Mus musculus: one gene and its partner. The protein of the gene in region 1 purifies or fractionates together with the protein of each later gene. This does not show direct contact. Links are inferred from orthologs where the notes say so. Each region holds a gene or a part of one and is shown on either strand. Other genes may lie near its edges.

What was found.
Region 2: the proteins of Mink1 (region 1) and Strn4 purify together in Homo sapiens (affinity purification with mass spectrometry; 3 studies listed by BioGRID and IntAct, with this or other methods). This does not show direct contact. The link is inferred for Mus musculus from reciprocal best matches to the Homo sapiens genes MINK1 and STRN4.

Annotation. Positions count from the first base shown.
Region 1 is NC_000077.6:70,559,740-70,566,420, reverse strand, and holds the start of Mink1 (misshapen-like kinase 1), read right to left. Parts: upstream 3,541-6,681; 5' UTR 3,352-3,540; coding exon 3,295-3,351; intron 1-3,294. UniProt on the Homo sapiens protein: Serine/threonine kinase which acts as a negative regulator of Ras-related Rap2-mediated signal transduction to control neuronal structure and AMPA receptor trafficking.
Region 2 is NC_000073.6:16,831,755-16,837,654, reverse strand, and holds part of Strn4 (striatin-4), read right to left. Parts: intron 4,730-5,900; coding exon 4,554-4,729; intron 4,478-4,553; coding exon 4,430-4,477; intron 3,781-4,429; coding exon 3,659-3,780; intron 94-3,658; coding exon 1-93. UniProt on the Homo sapiens protein: Calmodulin-binding scaffolding protein which is the center of the striatin-interacting phosphatase and kinase (STRIPAK) complexes.

The DNA of each region.
Region 1 (6,681 bases):
ACCAACCAGGCTGTCCTGTAACTCAAAGACCTCCACCTACTTTTCTTCTGGAATTAAAAGTGTGTGCTACAGCACCTAGCATATTTACTTATATTTGTGTGTATATGTGTATACCTTTGTGTGGTTATATATATGACCTCATGCATACAAGCAGCCTGGCACATGTGTAGAAGTCAGAGGACAACCCACTTTCTTCTTCTACCAGGTGGGTTCTGAGGATCAAGCTCAGGTTGTTATCAGACTTGGTAGTGACTGCCTTTACCCACTGAGCCATCTCCTCTGGCCATGTCTAGCTTTCTTTGTTACTTTAAGCAAACATACACTAACAGCTTCCAGTTGTTGCAGCATGCACTTACCTAACAAATATCTGAGTCCCACTACATAAAATGCTTAGGCACAAGGACACAGAGGGAACAGGACAGTCAGAATTTTAGCTTACAGTATGCTTTCATTTGTGTAGCACTGAAAATCCTAGTGTGTCACCATGTTAAGCAGACAATTACTACAGAGCTATACCTCCAGCCTTCATCCACATTTTAGTCAAGATCGACAGAAATAGATCTATGTCAACTAGTGATAATAAGTATGGAAAAAAATAATTTTATAGAGACATAAAGCAGAGAAGTGTTATTAGAGTTCTAGGAGGCTTCTCTGACTGGTAATACAGTCACTCTACGCTAGGAACTGAGCTAAATACTTACTGTGCACCATTTCATTTAACTTCAGTAACTATGTCTAATGCTATTGCCAATTCCACCATACAGGCAAGAAAACAGAGCTTAGGGAAGTTAGACCGCAGAGTCTGAAGGAAGGGAGGTAAGGATAACAAACCAACGTCTGTATCTTACAGGAGGTAAGGAAGCTGGGGTTTCAATTCAGAAAAGCAACTGGACTCATGTTCATCCCCCACTACACTACACCACCATACTGATGGACAAACAGCCCAAGAAGCCAAGGGTGGTGTGGTAACAAAGTAGCAGGTCCTTCTGGTCACCTTACTAAGAGATTAGTGCAACTCAGTCTTCCTCTAATATCAGACTATTACTCTCACCGTCAGCTGAAAACCAAGCCTTATCTTGAAACAAGAGGAGACAGACATCTGAGGTCATAGAGGCTAGCTTCTCAACCCTAAGGATGCTCTTCCCTCACCCTAACCCAACCACTGACACCAGGCTTGCACACTTGGTTAATTCTCCCAATGGTTCCATTCCTAACTAGAAAACGGGAACAGAAGAACAAGGTGTGACTGGGCCAGCTGCCTGACAGAGCCACAAGCAGTTCTCACAGATGTGTCGGACCGGACTGGCAATTGAGAGAGAAGCCAGCAAGGAGAGAGCAGCCTTTCCAGCCCCATTCAAGAAAGTACAGCTCTTCCACAGGTCCTGGAGTACCAGAGTGAGAGACATGAGCTGTTTTCTTCAGAGGCAGAAGGCAGGACAGACAGAAGTACAAGGAAAAGGTCACCCAGTTCTCTAGAAGGGAAGGAGAGGAACCCCCGGAGGAGTAAGCATGGAAAGAGGCTAACATACTTCACGGAGGGAAATACCATGTCCAAGGGCAAATAGTAATTTTCTGGAAATCCCAAGTTGGGGGCCCAGGATAAAGTTACCAGAGAAACCAAGAGAAAAGAGCAGTAGAGGACCAGAGGTAAAAATCAAAGGTCACTGCCTGCACCTACCCACTGGGTGACAGTGTTTCTTTATGGTCACCACAGCCAGACAACCTGCGGCCAGAGTTAATCAACAACTTCAGTTTGCAATTGCATTCCAAATGCAAGCACATTAAAACTTTACTCAAAACCTGGATTTCCATCTTACATCCCAAAGGACTCGAGTATCCCAGTTTAAACACTGACTAAGCTGATCTAAAGCCTCCCCTGTCAAAGCAAGCGCAGGCACACACAGAGGGAGAGAGAAGGAGAGAGGGGGACAGAAGAAGAGAGGGAGGGAGAGAGAGAGAGAGAGAAGAGAGGAAAGAGGGAGATCCAGTACTCAGTCTTGTTCTCCAGAAAGTTATCTCCAGTAAGTCAGGTCTCATAACCCAACGTTGCACCAAACAAATTATGACCTGAATGGCAAGGGAGGGAAAAAAAAAAAAAAAAAAAAAAAAACTGTGTCACCTAGAGAAACCCAATTAACAACATGACTCTGCTCTCTTCAATTCTCTCTCCCCTCCAGTCATATCCGGGGCACTTGTGAGGTGGCTGCCTTTTCCCTGGGTAATTTACAAGCCAGAAGCCAATGTGTACAGAGACCTTCTGAGAAGGTAAGCATGAGGTGGGGAATCCTGCTCTAGCTACACCTACGCCGCCGGTTGGGAAAGCTCACCGGGCATGGAATCAAAACACCACCTGGGAGACAGTCTGGAATGGTTCACCTTGAAATTTCTATGTTGCCCTTAAGACAAAGCTGCCCGCTAGAGAACACTTACAAATGCTGAACTGAAAATTCCGGGAGGAGAGAGAGTAAGTGCCCCACGTGGAACAATAAATGGGTTATTTGAAAGCATTCCTGACACAGTTGTTTCCTCTTAACCGCTTCCCTAATGAACCCCTCCCTCCAACTCTCCTTTGCCTCCACTCCCACTAGTTCCCTCCCTACTGACCTCAGGCAGCGTGTTGTGTGTGCGTGTGTGTTTGTGTGTGTGTGTGTGTGTGCTTGTACATGTATGTAAACATCGTCTTCCGGCCCGAGTTTCCGAGGAAATCCAGGCTTCCCTTCCTCCCACTGTGCACTTGTCTGTCCTCCCAGCCCCACGCGGCTGCAGAGTTAGTAATGTAATATTCAGGGACCCCGAGACCGGAAATGCCTGGGTCTGAAAAGCTGCACTTGAAACACGAGAAAAGGGATAGGGAAAGTGAACGTGGGATGGAGACGTAGGAGGTGTGTGGGGTGGAGCGAGGAGGTGAAATCCGCCCAACTTGCAATTTAGGGGTAGGCGAGGAAGAAAACGAGGGATGAGGGGGAGGCTGAGGCAGTTGCAAAGTCAAAATTCCAGGAGCCAGAAGAGGAGGTGGAGGAAGCAGACATGAGGGCCGAGAGAGGGGGGACACAAGAAAGGCTCTGCAGGTGATGCAGGGCTGTGTTTAGGGACACCAGAGGTGACCCTCAAACGCCTATAAAGGAGGGGACTCGGATCCCAGCAGCAAGGTAGGGGTGGCACGCAAGTGTGGGGGAGGGCAGCACAGGGTGGGGACCAAACTGGCTCCCAGAATCTCCAGAGGGCGAACCCCCGGGCGGCGAGAGCTCGGGGTAAGGGCAGGGGTCGCGGGCGCGAGGCTGGGGTGGTGCTCACCCGCAGGGCAGACAGGTCGATGTCGTCCAGGCTGCGGGCGGGGGCTGGGTCGCCCATGGCCGCCGCGGGGCCACTCACGCTCCGGCTCGCTCACTCCGCTGCCGCCGTCGCCGCTTCTCCCCCATCGGGGGACTCGAGGGGCGGGCTCCACCGCGCCTGCCCCGAAGGCCGGGGAGGGGGAGGGCCAGCGGGAGGACCGACCCAGCGGCTGACAGGCGCTCTCACCCGCGCGCCTGCAACCCGAGTCGCCGGCTGCCCTGCGCACGCGCAGAGCCGACCGTGACGCGAACGCGCCGGGCGCCCCCTCCTGCGGGGCGCCGACACCTGCGCGCAGGCGCAGGAGAGCGGGCGGAGGGCGAGCGCGGACCCAGTCTCGCTAGAGCCTGGAGTGGAAGGAGCGCGACCACCCGCTGGTGCGCGTGCGCATACACCTTCCCTTCCTTTTCCCCCTTTTATTATTGTTGCCTCCTCTCCTCTAGTTCCTTCGTTGATCTTTATTTGACTCCTTTTCTTCCCTTTCCCTCTTTCGTGTGCCCAGCTGCCAATCAAACCACCTACCTCTCGATTTGCGGGGGAAGGGAGGCGGGACCCAACCCCCTCTATTACTAGGGGGGTTGTTATGGTAACTCCCCACGCGAGGGCTGCTGGCCTCTAGATAGGACGTGCTGTCCACCCACCCAATTGCCATGGTAACAGTGGAGCCGCTGAAGGAGGGGCCACTCCGTGAGAACTTGGCTGGAGAAACCACGTGGGAGGGAAGGACGGGGCTACTGTCTGCCCTTTACTCCCTTTCTAGGCTGGAGTGGGGATGTTGGGAGCAGATAGGCACTCCTACTGCACACGTCTGTATCTGCTTCTCTTAGCACAGTGTTCTGCAGGAAAGAACTATCCCTGGAGTTGCTAGTGGTAAAGCAGAAGAAACTGTATCCAATCCCTTCAAATGTTTTTCCAGCTCCTCAGATCTACTCCTGTTGGCACAGCACCTCCAGCCGGTTAGTCTCACTAGAGGATGGGTGAGGCTTTGTAACTATAGACAGACATGTTCTGCCACTGACTAATGTGTTGTCTGACCCTGAGCAAGCAAATTTGCCTCTGGGCTTTTCTTTCTCTATGAAGTTGAGGGGAGAAGGTTCTGAGTTTTCAAGAGCTCTTCCAACACTAACACTCCCTCTGAAAATGAATATAAACATTGCTTAGGTGAGCTTGAATTCTCTGGAGGCTTCTTGGCACATTTGGGTGCACATTCAAACTTGCTCCGGGTACTCTCCTGACTCATTTACCTTGCCCCTGATATGCAAGCCACAATCCCCATTTGGCCTTCCCACATGGCCTCTCTGCCTGGCACCTTCGATTAAATTCTTCATTATCCAGAAGTGATTTTTTTTTCTAAAACTTAAATCTGGCATCATTGTCCTGTTTAAAACGGTTTTCTGAACCCCACCATTCAGGAAGCTGAGGCAGGAGGATTACATTTTCTATTAGCCTGGACTATAAAATGACAGGGGGAAAAAAAAAAAAAACAAAATGAGAAAAAAAAAAAAAAAAAAAAAAAACACCGTTTGATGACTCCCACTGCCTTGTGGGTAGTGATATCAAAGACTTTCAAGATTCTGCTGTTTCTTTGACCTTATGTATATATATTTTTCTTTTCTGGTCTTATGTTCTAATAAACCATACTTAAACTTGCTCCAGATGTAATGAAATATATTCTACTTGAAGCCCCCAGAACACCTCTTACCTGTCTTTGCACTTACTTCTCTTTGCCCTGGAGTATTCTCCAACTTCCAGCTGTGCTGACTACTTTTATGTCAACTTGACACAAGCTAGAGCAATTTGAGAAAAGGGAACCTCACCTGAGAAAACACCCTCACCGGGTTGGCCTGTGGGTAAGCCAGTGAAGCCTTCTCTTAACTGGTCATTGATGTGGGAGGTCCCAGCCCACTGTGGGTGGTGTCACTCCTGGGCATGTGGTCCTGGATTGTGTAAGGAAGCAGGTAGAGCAAGCCAGTGAGCCTCTGCGCCATCTTCTGTGGCCTCTGCTTCAGTTTCTGCTTCCAGGTTCCTGCCCTGACTTCCTTCAGAAAGGGAGTATGATCTGAGCACTGTAAGCTGAGATAAACCCTTTCCTCCCCATGTTGCTCTTGGTTGGGGTGTTTTATTACAAAGTAGAAACCCAACCGAGACACTAGCCACGGCCACTCTCATTGGCCTTTGCTTTGCCTGGCCTGCTGGAATCACCTCTCTATGCACACTATTTTACAATATTTTGTTACATGCATTTGTATGCATGCAGGGGTACATGCACAAAGGACTACCTCTGTGTGGAGATCTCCTGGGTATGGTGGCTCAAACCTCTAATAAAGTTCTCAAGAGGATTTCCAGAAAGTACAAGGCCTTCCTGGACTACAAAGTAAGATCCTGGCCAGCCTGTGCTATATGAAGCCTTGTCTTTTTTTTTTAAGATTTATTTTTATGTATATGAGTACACTGTAGCTGTACAGATGGTTTTGAGCCATCATGTGGTTGCTGGGACTTGAACTCAGGACCTTCAGAAGAGCAGTCAGTGCTCTTAACTGCTGAGCCATCTCACCAGCCCAAGCCTTGTCTTAAGAAACAAAAATCCAGGTATGGTGGTATACACCTGTAATCCCATTACTTGGGAGGCAAAGGCCAGAGGATAGTAGCAAGTTAAGGGCTAGCCTGGTCTACATAGTGAATTTCAAGACAGCCTGTGAGATTCTGTCTAAAATGAATTAAATAATAGAGAGGCATTTAGCATCTACTCAATAAATTTCTTAATGCCAGATTCACGGGCTGTTTAATAAAGATAGTTAATAAATGAACAAATCAACATCTCAGGGATGGGATAAACGGCCACCTTCACCTCACAAGGTCATTGTAATCCCTGGGGTGGGAAGGAGAATAAGCAAGACTGGCGCAAGCTGGTTCTCCTTTGCTTGTTTTGCAACCTTGCTTTCCTCCCCTACCCTATGGTTGGCCTTTCATCAAGACCCCTGGACCAGAGTCGGGCGTGGTAGCACATGCCTTTAATCCCAACTCTTGGGAGACAGAGGCAGGCGGATTTCTGAGTTCAAGGCCAGCCTGGTCTACAGAGTGAGTTCCAGGACAGCCAGGGCTACACAGAGAAACCCTGTCTCGAAGAAAGAAAGAGAGAGAGAGAGAGAGAGGTAGAGAGAGAGAGAGAGAGAAAAGAGGGGAAAAAAGGAGGTTGGGGTAGGAGGCTGAAGGATCATGAATTAGAGGTCAGACCAAGTTATATAGCAAGACCCTGTCCTAGCTGGGCATGATGCAGAGGCAAGGTTACTGCAACTATAGATTGCTGGTCTACACAAGGCCCTGTCTTCAAGCAAACACTGCAAGACTAAG
Region 2 (5,900 bases), on another chromosome or scaffold:
AGCAGGATGCTAGGCGCTGGGAGGTGGGACTGAAGGCCAGACCCCACACAGCATCCCCATGGCCTTCCAGGACATGGCTCAGCACACTTGGGTCTGGGCAGGCCGGGAGGAAATAGATTGTCAGGGACACCAGCTACACTGATTGGCCCAAGGGCTTTATCTTTGCTGGGACCTGGGTGGCTGCCACTGCCCACAAGCTCCTCTGACTCTAGGGCTCAGGAACAGCTCAAGAGCTTAGAAAATGAGGCTTCCATGTTCACTGTCTCTCCAGGGCCAAGGTCAGCAGCTCAGGGGACCAGTGGAGCACGAAGGAAAGCTGCCTCGGCTCCCCTTTTAGTCCCTGCAATGTCTTTCCCTTCTACTTTCTCAGGCTCTGCTGTTCAAAGGACCTTCTGTGGTCTCTCTCGCTGTTAAGTTCACATGGTTCTGGGTCAAGTCCTGCTGACACCTGAAGTCCACTTAGGATTGATGCCTGACCTTCCCAAATGATCATTAGTTTGACAGGAAATGCAACTCTGTATTCTGCCATAACCAATTTAGCACAAAGCCATGTTCAAGAGTAAACAGCACTCAGGAGGCAGAGGCAGGAGGATCTCTATGAGTTTAAGGCCAACCTGGGTCTACATAAAGACAACACAGTGAAATCCTATCTTTTAAAAGAGGGGTGGGAGTGGGGTTGGAGAAATGGCTCAGTGGTAAGAGCATTTGCTTTTACTCACGACCATCTGTAACACAGAGATACATGTAAAAAGAGCTCACTAAGCACCAACAAGTTAGGCAAGGGCACTGAGTAGGAGGGAACTCTGGGTATCTCTTCACATTAAAAAAAACTACTTAAAATTTTTTTATTTAATTTTATTCTTTTATGGTTACCAATGGTGGTAGCACACACCTTTAAGGGAGGGAGGCAGAGGCAGGTGGAGTTTGAAGGCAGCCTGGGCTACAGAATGAGTTCCAGGACAGACGGGGCTAAACGGAGAAACTGTCTCAAAAAACGAAGCCAACCCAAACAAAAAAACAAAACAAAATAAAAAACTTTTTTACTTAAGCAGAGATGGAGTCTATAATAAAGACATTTCTTTCTTTCTTTCTTTCTTTTCCTTTCTTCCTTTCTCTCTCTCTCTCTCTCTCTCTCTCTCTCTCTCTCTCTCTCTCTCTCTCTCTCTCTCTCTCTCTTTCTTTCTGTGTAGCCCCAGCTGACCAAGAACTCAGCAGTTCTGGCTCACTGAGCTCTGCTTGTCTTCTGCCTCAAGGGCTGGAATTAAAGGTGTACATTACTACATGCAGCCTATAAGACATTTTTTAAAAATGTACTTACCCTCTCTTAAAAAGAAAAAGAACTTTAAAAAGTTTTAAAAAAATACTTAAAAGAATTTTTTCTTAAACTATATTGTGAGCACACTCTTTCTCTCCCCAGCTCTCCCCAGATTTTCCCACCTCCTTACTGCCCAAGCAACTTCATGTTCCTTCTCTCTAAAAGACTAAAACTAAAGCAGAAGATTTTAAAAAAAGAAAAAGAAAAGGAAAAATAAAGGAAGGAAGGAAGGAAGGAAGGAAGGAAGGAAGGAAGGAAGAAAGAAAGAAAGGAAGAAAGAAAGAAAGAAAGAGCCAAAAATGAAAGAAACATAAAATTTCCCCCAACAACATGGAGTGTGTTCTGAGTTGTCAGCCACCCCTAGGCATGAAGCCTGCCCTGGAGTGTCACTGATAGACCTAGTGACTCTGGCTCAGAGGCAGCTCATTTCCCTTCCTCACAGAAGTCAATTGTAAATAGCTTCTTGGTGAGGGATAGGACGTGGTGTTCATTTCTCCTAGTAAAAGACTTTTGTCTGTTTGTTTGGTTTTTCAAGACCAGGTTTCTCTGTCCTAGAACATACTTTGTAGACCAGGCTGCTGGCCTCAATTAAAAGTGTGTGCTACCATTGCCAGGTAAAAGGCTTCTTAAAAACAGACTTAAAAACTAGTTTTAAGACCTTGTTTCAAAATAGAATAAACAAAAACACGGGAGTTAATATAAAATGAGGTCCTCAGGAAGGTGAGAAACATCCAAGAACATGGGTGAGGGTGTTCCCAAGACAGTGTTACCCACTAATTAACTCTTTTTTTAATAACAATAAAAAATATTTATTTATTTATTATATGTAAGTACACTGTAGCTGTCTTCAGACACTCCAGAAGAGGGCATCAGATCCCATTACGGATGGTTGTGAGCCACCATGTGGGATTTGAACTCAGGACCTTCGAGAGCAGTCAGTGCTCTTACTCCCTGAGCCATCTCTCCAGCCTCCTCCTATTTAACTCTTATTCCTCCATCTACCTGCCCACTTACCTGCTCATCTGTCCATCCCTCCCGCCTGCCCTGCCCCGTGTCTGGTCTGCACAGAGACAAGGTTGCTCTGTGTAGTCCTGACCACTCTGGTACTCTGTAGACCAGGTTGGCCTCAAACTCAGAGATCCTTCTGCCTCTACCTTTCAAGTGTTGGGATTAAAGGTGTGCACCATTGCGCCTGCTGGCTGCTGCCCAGCACGTGTGTGTGTGTGTGTGTGTGTGTGTGTTCACGCACGCAAGTATGTGAGAACCCAAGTGGTGGCAAGATGACAACTCATGTTGGTGTTGGTTCCCTCCTTCTAATGTGGGTTCTAGGGACTGGACTCTGACCATCAGGGGTGCCTTTACCTGCTAAGCCATCTTGCTGGTCCTATGTAGTGTGTTATTTTGAGACAAGACTTTTCTATGTCGAGCAGGCTGACCTGGACCTTAAATTAAAATCCCCCTGCCTCAAACTCCTGAGCACTAAGATTATCACTTCCTCTTTAACTTTTTCTTGGAGTGGAGAAGACTTTTCCTCCCAATAGGGATTCACTATGTCCGGGCAGTAGCTTGATTGTTATGTGGCACAGCAGGCCTGAAACCCAATACATAATCAAGCTGGTCTTGAACTTGTGATTGCGGTTATCCCTCCTGCCATTACTGCTCCATTGTAAGATGAAACAGCAATTTTTTTTTTTTTGAGACACTATGTAGCTCTAACTGGCCTAGAACTTAGTATGTAGACAAGGCTAGCCTTGAACTCAGAGCATTGTTTGCTTCTGCCTCCTGAGTGCGATTAAAGATTTATGTCTTGTTTTTTGTTTTTGTTTGTCTGGTTTGTTTGTTTTTGAGATATGATTTCATGGCCTCAAACTCCCTATGTAACCAACAATGAACTTAGCATTCTGATCCACCCAGCTCCTGTGGTACTGGGATGGGACCCAGAGCTTCACTCCACCTACTTACTGATCCCCATCTCCAGCTCCTCCACTTAACTCTTAAAGGGCTAAAGGACAAGGCCTCAACTCCCTGCCATTTATGGTCCCCCCAATGCTTCTCAGCTCACCTCCTCTGTTTCTAACAAACCCCTGACCCACAATAAGACCTTAGCTGATCCCCAACATAGTCCACCAAGTTGACCAAGCCCATTCTGGCCCTGACCCAGGCTAGCCTCTGCTTCCCCAAAAGCCAGCTCACACTGTCCCTCAAATGCAGCCCAACTCTCCCCTCACCATTACGCCTCATCTCCCTCCGCCCACTCTCTTAACCTTAAGTCAGACCAGGAAGCTTACAGTGCTACTTCCCAGAGCTGTGACAGGAGGAGGGAGTGGCAGGGTCTGTCCTCACCATAGCCATCATATGGGTCCATGTTGAGGTCAGGAATCTTCCAGCTGTGGATCCTGGCATCAGCCCCACCACTGTAACAGTACTCGCTGTTGCTGCCCATGGTGACTGCCAGCACCGGGCCCCTGCAGGGTGCAAGGGAGAGGCGATGCAAGGCAGCTAAGGCTCAAGCCTTCCTTGCTCACGGGAGCTTGAGGATTTCTCCTAGCTTTTAGTTTTGTTTTGTTTTTGTTTTTTCAAGACAGGGTTTCTCTGTGTAGCCCTGGCTGTCCTGGAACTCACTCTGTAGACTAGGCTGGCCTTGAACTCACAGAGATCTGCCTGCCTCTGCCTCCCAAGTATTGGGATCCAAAGTACATGCCACCATGCCTGGCTCTTCTAGCTATTTTTAAATATCATTTAAATGTATTTATTGTCATATATCACAATGCGCATGTGGAGGTCAGAAGACAACTTCTGGAGTTGGTTCTCTCCTCCTAGCACCTGAGTCCTGGGGATCAAACTTATGTTGTCAAGCTTAGTAGAAGGCACCTTTAGCCACCTAGCCCTCCCATCAGTCAGTGTCCTTTCCTAGGTATATCTTAAGGATGCCATGAGGAATTTGGCATCTTTGCTCTAGGGGCCTCAGTGAAACCACAATGGGAACCAACATGGCCCCTGAGTAAGGGGTATGCCCAAGCCTCCACTGCTCCAGGTCTCCAGGGCAGCAAGAAGCAGCAGCCCATCTATGCTGCTGGGTCGCAGGGCTTACAACAGGCTCAGCCATCTCCCTACCTGTGAGCTCGGAAAGCATGAATCGGCTCCACATCCAGTGCAGCATTTCTGTGGGAAAAAGAGGAATCCCATCACTAGGACCCCAGGTCCTAAGGCCCCGCACCCTCCAGGGTGGCACCCTTACTTCTTGGCCGTAACTGCCTTCTGCAGGTTCCACAGTTTGAGTGTGCCATCCTCAGAGGCAGTAAGCAGTGCTGACTGGCTGTGGTGGAAGGCCAGGGAGCGGATGCCATCGTAGTGTGAGCGGAGGGTAAACTTGGGGTTCCATGTCTTCTTGAAAGCGTCTTTGCTGTCAGACAGCTGGGGATGGGGAGCTGCCTCAGTGTCCTCTTGGATTCCCCAGCACTCATACAAACACTGACAACCACCCATGAACTGACTCGACTAGAACTGACGGTCCCCAGCCTGATATTTCTTTCTGTGTGCCTCAGAAGAGCCCTTCACACATACTCAGGTTTTAGCAGCAAGGGAGGCTCTGGAGGGGCCAGAGGAACCTGACTCTTTGGGGCCTCACAGTTCAGAGGCCTCTAGGAAAAGAGAGGCAGGTCTTTCCTAAACACACAGAACCGGAAACTCTTAAGGATGAGAAAGGGACACCAAGGCACCCTAGCCTCCTCTGCACAGACCAAGAGGTTGTCATGAGGGAGTGACAAATTATGTAGGACTTAACCAGTACCAGGGAAGAGGACGTTTAGGAACAAGGTGAGTATGTCAAGGCCCTGAGGCAGGAGACAGCAAGGCTGGGATACACAAATTCAGAAACATGCCACACACACAAGAAGAAGGCAGAAAGGTCAATGGCAGGCACGACAGTGGATCCCTTAGAAACCGGCAAAGCCCCAGAGTAATGAGAAGCCACATGGGCTGCAGAGCAGTGGATGACAGTCGGTCCTGGCCTCTCTGGGGAAAGTCAGCATAATTGCAGAGATAGGTCCCGAAGCTTCAGTCACAGGGAACGACCTTCACTATGACTTGGGAACCAAGTTCTAGGACAGGGGAGTCTGGAGACTCGAGCCTCAGACCCCGGGAGAGACACTCTGAAAGCACGTGCCCTAAAAGGTGAGGCTGCTCACTCTGAGTGGAAGGCCCGGTCTGGGAGAAAACATGAGCTGTCAGGCAAGCCTCAGCACCCCCAGACCCCTTCACCTGCGATCAGCTAGATTTGCACCATGATTCTTAGGAACTAGATTTGTGCTCAAGTGGGTTCCCCCTCTCTGAAGGACCACTGTGGGGCAGGTTGAGGGATGCTGCACTACAATCCCAGGTAGATCCTGCCCAGCCTCTCTTCTACATTCTCCACAGGTCCCCAACCTCACTGGGGTCAGTAACCTGATCTTCTGCCCTGGAAAAATGCATCCGATCCTACACCAGAAAGTCCCAACGACCCATCCAAGGTGCACAGCACAGAATGCCAGGCATGAGGCTCTTCATTCCAGCCCAGCTGCTCCACTCAAAACCATCTCCCCACATC